2 linked regions of the Schizosaccharomyces pombe genome follow. Changing the gene in region 1 together with any one later gene gives a genetic interaction. Each region holds a gene or a part of one and is shown on either strand. Other genes may lie near its edges.

What was found. A genetic interaction does not mean that the proteins touch.
Region 2: mutations in nse6 (region 1) and pnk1 impair growth when combined (synthetic growth defect), as found in Schizosaccharomyces pombe (2 studies listed by BioGRID, with this or other methods).

What each region holds. Positions count from the first base shown.
Region 1 is NC_003424.3:5,295,827-5,299,791, reverse strand, and holds nse6 (Smc5-6 complex non-SMC subunit Nse6), read left to right. Parts: upstream 1-2,011; 5' UTR 2,012-2,058; coding exon 2,059-3,627; 3' UTR 3,628-3,743; downstream 3,744-3,965. Other genes in the region: protein tyrosine phosphatase Pyp3, read right to left, coding at 1-561, 667-954. UniProt on the Schizosaccharomyces pombe protein: Acts in a DNA repair pathway for removal of UV-induced DNA damage that is distinct from classical nucleotide excision repair and in repair of ionizing radiation damage.
Region 2 is NC_003424.3:2,137,550-2,141,149, reverse strand, and holds the start of pnk1 (DNA kinase/phosphatase Pnk1), read left to right. Parts: upstream 1-1,682; 5' UTR 1,683-1,711; coding exon 1,712-2,252; exon of another isoform or gene 2,253-2,275; intron 2,276-2,305; coding exon 2,306-2,701; intron 2,702-2,740; coding exon 2,741-2,883; intron 2,884-2,939; coding exon 2,940-3,086; 3' UTR 3,087-3,208; coding exon of another isoform or gene 3,209-3,600. Other genes in the region: ipp1 (inorganic pyrophosphatase), read right to left, coding at 1-621; mpp10 (U3 snoRNP-associated protein Mpp1), read right to left, coding at 3,209-3,600. UniProt on the Schizosaccharomyces pombe protein: Catalyzes the phosphorylation of DNA at 5'-hydroxyl termini and can dephosphorylate its 3'-phosphate termini. Has a role in the repair of breaks in single-stranded DNA.

The sequences.
Region 1 (3,965 bases):
AACAAGCTGATCGACCGATTGAACAGATTGCATTCTTTGTGACCGAAGACTGGAAACTATATTTGCGATATTATCCACCTCAAATTTCGAAGTTGAAGTAGAGTCATCTGTTTGAGATAAAATCTCAAATAACGCCATGAAAGTTCCCGTTCTGCCACAACCCGCTGAACAATGGACTATAATGGGTGCTGTTTCAAAGTCCGGAGAATATGAGAGACTTTTTATATAGCGAGTCAGTGATAGTAGTGAGAAGGTATGTGGTGCACCAAAGTCAGGCCAACCGTTATAGTAAAAATGCAAAATTTTTTTCTTGACCCCGTCCTTGTTCAGCTCAAATTCACGAACTTGAACTTCATTTAATGATGTCAAAGTATAAACTTTTACCAAAATAACGCTTAAATCACCGATATTAAGTGTCTCAAACAGTTCCACTGGCCAATAGATATCACATTTCAGACGATGGCGTTCCCTCAATTTGGTAAGCATAACGATGATGCCTGATTTTGGCACAGATTGCCAGACCATCTTCCAAAAAACATCAATACTGTTCGACGTTGGACCCTATATAAATAAAGAAGACTAAGTTAGTAATTATGTTACAAAAAATGATGAAAAGAAAAAAGGCCAAAGCCGTTTACAATCCCGCAATTTCTTTTTATTCCTAACCTGAGTAGCGATAAATGTTTTCCCAGAAGGGATTTTTACTATGGAAGCATTAATGTAATCACATGCTTCTTTCCACATTGGATCTAAACGAACACGAGTATTTTCATAAGGGACTATGTTGGAGTATCGGTTTCTAGCCAGCGCTTTCTTACTTAGCTTTGGCAACCTAGTATTTAACAGCTCTATCTCTTCCTCATTGAGTCCCTCAATAATCATGTACGCTTTTTCTTTTATTGTGATCAAGGGTGTTAGAACACCATTTTCTGTAGATACTTCTTTAAAAGACATATTGATTTTTTGCGTTTATTCGCTTTTAAACTTCTCACCGAAGTATTTTTTTGTGTCTATCAAAAAGAAAGAATAATTTCTACTAAACGACTTTAAATGATTCCTAAAACCATGACAGAAGTCAGTAAAAAAGAGAAGTATAATTGTTTAATAAATCATCATTGTACGGCCCCCACATAGCGCTAGTTTCTAGTTGTAGTCGTAATCTAGTTCACGTTCACATTCACTTCGTAGGACTAGGCCCAGAGTATTTGCGAATGTCTATGTGGGGGTAACTCGAACCTTTACGAAGCCGGTAGTATGAAGAACAAGCTATATGTGGGATACTTTTATAGGTTGTAAACAACTGTATTGATGATAGTGAATAAAATGATTTAAACGCACTTATGTTCTCTCCAAGGACTTAATCGATCTGCTATACTTTTACTTTCAAAAACAAAAATATTTAAAGTGTAGAGAAAAGTTTTGACGTTTCTTATATAAGGCCAAGTATTATAATACTTGCTCAGCAATTGTTTCATTAAATGCCTGTTTGAATGTCGCCATTGTTCTTTAGGAGTTGTGTTTGACTCGTTTGACTCCCTTACTTGGCTTCTTTGGTTTTAATGTAATTTGTAAAGATTTCTTTGAATGAAAACGTGCCTAAATTGGTTTTAGGTGTTCTTTCTTCTAAGGTTTCCAATAACTTTAACTCAGAATTAGTAAAAATCATTAATTGTTAACAAAAGCTTATGACAGGTTTTTTCTATTCTTTTTTTTTGAATGTTCGCTTAAGAAAAGTCATATGTAAACATCAACGAAGCCAGCTTGGATATGTTTATGATTTCTCCGGTAATAGCAGTTGAAATGCTATAAACTAACAAATTATTCATTTAATAAGAAAATCAATAATTTACTCGATGTTTAATATTATTTGCTTGGAATGCTCAAATTGGATGAAATGAGACTATAAACAACAAAAAAACAATCGTCGTCAAACTATAATGCTATATAATTAAATTATAAACGTTTACTTTCCACTATTTACTATTTCATAATTTTTGTTATATATCCATCCACCCTTTTACCAAAGCACATCAAAAGTGTCTTTGCTGGTATAGTTCTATGAATGCGTCTAATAACATTTCAAAATTTCCTGATTTAGATAATTCTTCAAAATTAATTGACCACATACTTGATAGTGATGATTCTGAAGAGTTGGACGAGCTTCCTGATATCTCTTCTTTGGTGCCTTCGGCAAGAGCCCAATCGCGAAAACAGTATTTGAAAAATGATTCTTCTAATTCATCTACATACAGATGGAATATTGATCTTCTTTCTAGTACTGCTACAATTGACGATTCGGTTGCAAAAAGAAGAAAATTAGCAGTACAAAATTTATTGCAATATGACAGCACTCAAACCTTTCAAACGGGAGATGAAATTGATGAATTAATAGGAAAAAGTGTTGGATCAAATGTTTTGAATGTTCTACGTTCTAACCCTATTTATGATGACGACCTTAGGTACGAATATTGTAGCAATTCAAAAGCTCGTGTTCCAGACTGGAACACCCTGAAAGCAGAATGCTTGAAAGATAACGATTTGGAGTTTAATGAAGGAATTATACCAACAACTTTTGGTGATTTATTATCGGCAAAATTGGTCCCCTTAGATATTGCATTGTCAATATGCAGCTTGCAATTTTTCCGCTCTTTAGGAGACACAACATGCTCTGAATGGATTGCTAACCTAGAAAAGATTTTTTATAGCTATAAAAGCAGCTCTAATAATCTCAACCAAATTGTACGATTTATTTTTGAGACTACTGCAGATATGATTGGCATTGATTTAGCGAAACGACAGGTACCAATCCAGTTGGAACGTACGTCAGCCTCAGAAAATTTAAAAAGCAATTTGAAAATTAAGGTAATTAATTTCCTAAAATGCTGTGGAACTTTGTATCGGTTCTCCGACGACACTGTTCGCTTTGAAATGATTCAGGATGCATGTCGAATCTTAATTGACAATCAAGTGGGCTCATTTTGTAAATGGCAATTTTCTCAATTCATGGAACTTCCAATATCATTGAATCCAGATTTTTTGATCAGTAATATTCATAAGGTGTCTGAAAGTCCTAGAGTTTGGGTTACAATACTATCTTCTTTGTCTCGTTCCTGCCAAAAATTCAGAAAGAAGATTGCTTTTACATTATTTGTTGGGAAACAAAGTAAAAATGATGATTCAGACTTTTCTTCTTTATGTCAACGACTAGATGAAATTTCCGCTTCCTGTAATAATGACTATACAACTTTATTGTACCAGATTCGTACCTTCGGATATGCGGTGGATGAAAAGCATTTTAAAACTAATGAGCGCTTAGAGTGCTTACTGGAAAAATTACGAAAAATAGATTTAACAATATCTGGTTCAACAGACCATTTGCTACTATCGAGATGTGAAGTTAAAGATTGCATACATAGACTTTTTATGGTGCTTTACTATTTAAATACAAACTCAGCACCAGAATTGGAGAGGATTATTGAAAGTGACTTGCCCAATAATAATAAACAAAAGGACAGGTATTTCAAGGATAAAACTTCTAACTTATCGATGAAAGAAAACAAAAGCTTTTCAGCTAAAAAGGTGAAGAAGGGAAAAAAGAAAAATAAACGGCAAGCGTACAAAAGATAAACAATCAGTGTATTTATTAATATTAATTTCAGTGCTGGCGCAAATTCAACAAATTGTATAATACTTTCTAACTAAGAAATCCATAGTTTAATTTAAAAGAAAGTTACTTATTATAATTCCCTTGGAATTACAAATGGACAGAAAAGAAGAAAGAAGTTACCATCTTTTACGATAGTCAAAACTTAGCATCCATTGAAAGATATTGTATCCACTTGATTAATAGAAAGCAGCTATGGGAATAATTTATGATAAGAATCAGCAGAAATCATACACAATCCACATTTAAGAAAACAATGGAAGCCGAACTTGCGATCATTTAGCCTGAAGCATTAAATACT
Region 2 (3,600 bases), 3.2 Mb from region 1:
GAAAGCAAAGGAATTTTCAGGCTTGCCATCGGGGATCTTGTAAATGCGGAACCACTCGTTAGTAGCACGGATTAAGCCAGGCATATGACGTTCAACATCCTCAATATCATTAAGCTTAGGAGCTAAAGGGTCATTAACGTCGATGACAATAACCTTCCAGTCAGTCTCACCCTCGTCAAGAAGGGCCATAACACCCAAGACCTTAACTTGCTTGACTTGGCCGGTGTAGCCACGAGCTTCACCGATCTCACAAACATCGAGAGGATCGCTATCACCCTTGGCCTTGGTTTCAGGATGAACAACATTAGGATCCTCATAGGTTTGAGGAAAAGCACCGTAGTTCCAAATGTAACCGTGGTGAGGAAAGCAGTTACGAACGAAACGAAGCTTACCCTTCTTAGTATCTTGCTTGATAGGGTTCAAGGTAGCTTCCTTGGTAATTTCAAGCTTAGCCTGAGTCCAACGAGGGATCTCAACGACCATGTTCAAGATGGTCTTCTCAGCATTGGCATACAAGGGGATATCGTGCCAAGAAGAGATAGGAGTACCATTTTTCTCAACATAGACTTGGTAGTCCAATGTGTTCAAAGCGCCAACTTCACGGGTAGTGTATTCACTCATGACTGAAAAGTGTTTTTGGTTAAGTACAGGTTGCAATGTGCACTAATTCGCAACATCTGCTACAAAATTTGTAACTCAATGTATACAAAAAATCTTATATTAATTTATAAAATTTTCTAAGGAACAGGTTTATATTTTTAATATCGCATGTTTTTATTTTATACAGCATAAAGATGGATTTGTGAATCTTACATAGGGTAATACTGTTATAAAGTTACTTTCTTTAGCAATACTTTATTAAATGATTGATAGTAAAGGAGATTTCCACAACATGATAAAAATTTAGCACAAATAAATTATTAAAATTAAATTGTTTTACGAGAATTTATCAATTTTTTATATTAAACACAATCAAAGATATTTATTAGCCTTGTATGCAGGTTTCTTTTCTGTCGATATGGATCTTGTGGAATACTGATTTTGCGATCAGTAAATTCTTGGCTGATGCAGTAGAAGCCATAATGTTTATATAAAAATATACGAAATATTTAAATTAATTAATTATGGAAATTTTTGTTTTTAAATTCCAGATCAGCTACTAAAAAAGATAAATGACAAACGAAAAAATAATGCAAAAAAAAGCTCATACATAAAAACAAAATATTGCCGATGTCCTTCATTTTTTGTTTAAAAATAAACGGTTTAATTTTAAACGATACCAAAAAAAAAAAACTAATGTTCGTAAATAACGAGATATGCAATTGTTAATGAATAAGATGTAGGTCTCAAATATGTTATTTGTGAAATCTTTGAATGGTTGCCAAATAATAAATTAGACGAATAAATTAAAGAATTTTCTTGTTATTTATTGTCTAAATTTCTTCGAATAAGAATTATTTTCAAGTCAGTAAACATATTAAATCTTCGATTAAGGACTATATGATATAATATATCTTCTCACTAATTGTTGTATATGAGGCATTTTATGTAATTGATCAAAAACAATTGAAAATTCAATAGAGCGAAAAATAAAATTTTCATCTGTTATCCATTTTTAAGTATGTTATTGAAACCACCCATTTTCATTGCTATGCAATTATAATATAGCTAACTCAATTACCAAGTCCCATTTAGTATTTCGTCAATCGCGATGTCGTCGAAAAAAAGAAAGTCTCCCCCCCAGGAATCTTTAACTTCATATTTTGAAAAATCGTCTAAATCCTCAAAAAAGTACGGCTCTCAAAACAAAGATTCTGATTCATCCTCGACATGCCTTCAACAGAAAATAGAAATTCAATGGAGCATCACCGATTCATTATACATAGCAAAGTATGGAAAACTAAAAAAGACTAAAAAATTTATTGCATTTGATTTAGATGGAACGCTCATAAAAACTAAATCTGGTAGAGTATTTTCAAAAGATGCAGCTGACTGGACCTGGTGGCATCCAAGCGTTGTCCCAAAATTGAAGGCTTTATACCAAGACAATTATTCTCTTGTTATTTTCAGTAATCAAAACGGAATTCCAAGAAAACCTTCTGCCGGACATACCTTTCAGATGAAGATTCGTGCTATTTTTGAGTCATTAGATCTACCTATTGTATTGTATGCTGCCATCTTGAAAGATAAGTTTAGAAAACCATTGACAGGAATGTGGAATTCCTTTTTAAAAGACGTGAACCGTTCAATTGGTGAGTTGACGCTTGTAATTTATCAAGGCCTATTAACATTTTTCACCCTTTAGATTTATCTTTCATCAAATACGTAGGTGATGCTGCAGGCCGTCCGGGTGATCATAATTCAACTGATTTAAAGTTTGCTGAAAACATTGGGATTAAATTTGAGACGCCCGAGCAATTTTTCTTGGGGCATTCATTTGTGCCTCCAAACTTTGAATCATTTCATCCAAAGAATTACCTTGTAAGAAATTCTTCTTCACATCCATACCATTTTAAAAAATCCGAGCATCAAGAAATTGTTGTTTTAGTTGGGTTTCCTTCTTCTGGGAAGAGTACTTTAGCTGAATCTCAGATTGTCACTCAAGGATACGAAAGGGTAAATCAAGACATCTTAAAAACGAAATCAAAATGCATCAAGGCTGCCATAGAGGCACTTAAAAAAGAAAAATCGGTTGTCATAGGTATGTACTCGATCATTTCAACGACTTACGCGATTTCAGACAACACAAACCCTACAATAGAATCACGAAAAATGTGGATTGACATAGCCCAAGAATTTGAGATCCCTATACGCTGCATTCATCTTCAGTCATCTGAGGAACTTGCCAGACACAACAACGTTTTCCGTTACATTCACCATAACGTAAGTTACCTGTTGGAGCATTAGAAAGACTTAGAAGAATTCCTAACCAATTCTAGCAAAAACAACTTCCCGAGATAGCGTTTAATTCTTTCAAATCTCGTTTTCAAATGCCAACAGTAGAAGAAGGTTTTACAAATGTTGAAGAAGTTCCTTTTAAATGCCTTAAAGACTATGAAGATACATGGAATTATTGGTACGAATAATACGAATGATATCTAAGAAATTATTAAATTGCATTAATTTCAAAAATATATAGTTATTGATCCCACTAAAACCAAACGTTTATAAAAATTATGACTAGCACACTTAACACCGAAATTTATCTTCAAAGCTTTAGCTGATTTGAAGAAACAATCGGATGATATTTGTTTGAATTACTTGCAACCTTTTTGCGCTCACCTCCTTTACCAATGACCTCAACATTCGATTTTGATAATTGACGAACGACTTGTTCAGTACCGGAATTCCTTCTTTTCTCAGCCATTTGCTTACGTTTCTCAGCATGTTTTCTACGCACCCGCCTGCGGCGTGCTTGCTTTTGTTGGTGGTCCATTTCAGTCGATGAAATGGCGATACCTGACCGAGTAATAGTTTCACCTTCACGATTCTCATTAGACGGTTTATAAACTTCTTGAGGAGCCAATGCCATAGTGTCAGAGGCAGCAGTTGGCTGAACGTCCTCCATTGCTAAAGTGGGTGCATTAGAAACAATTTCAA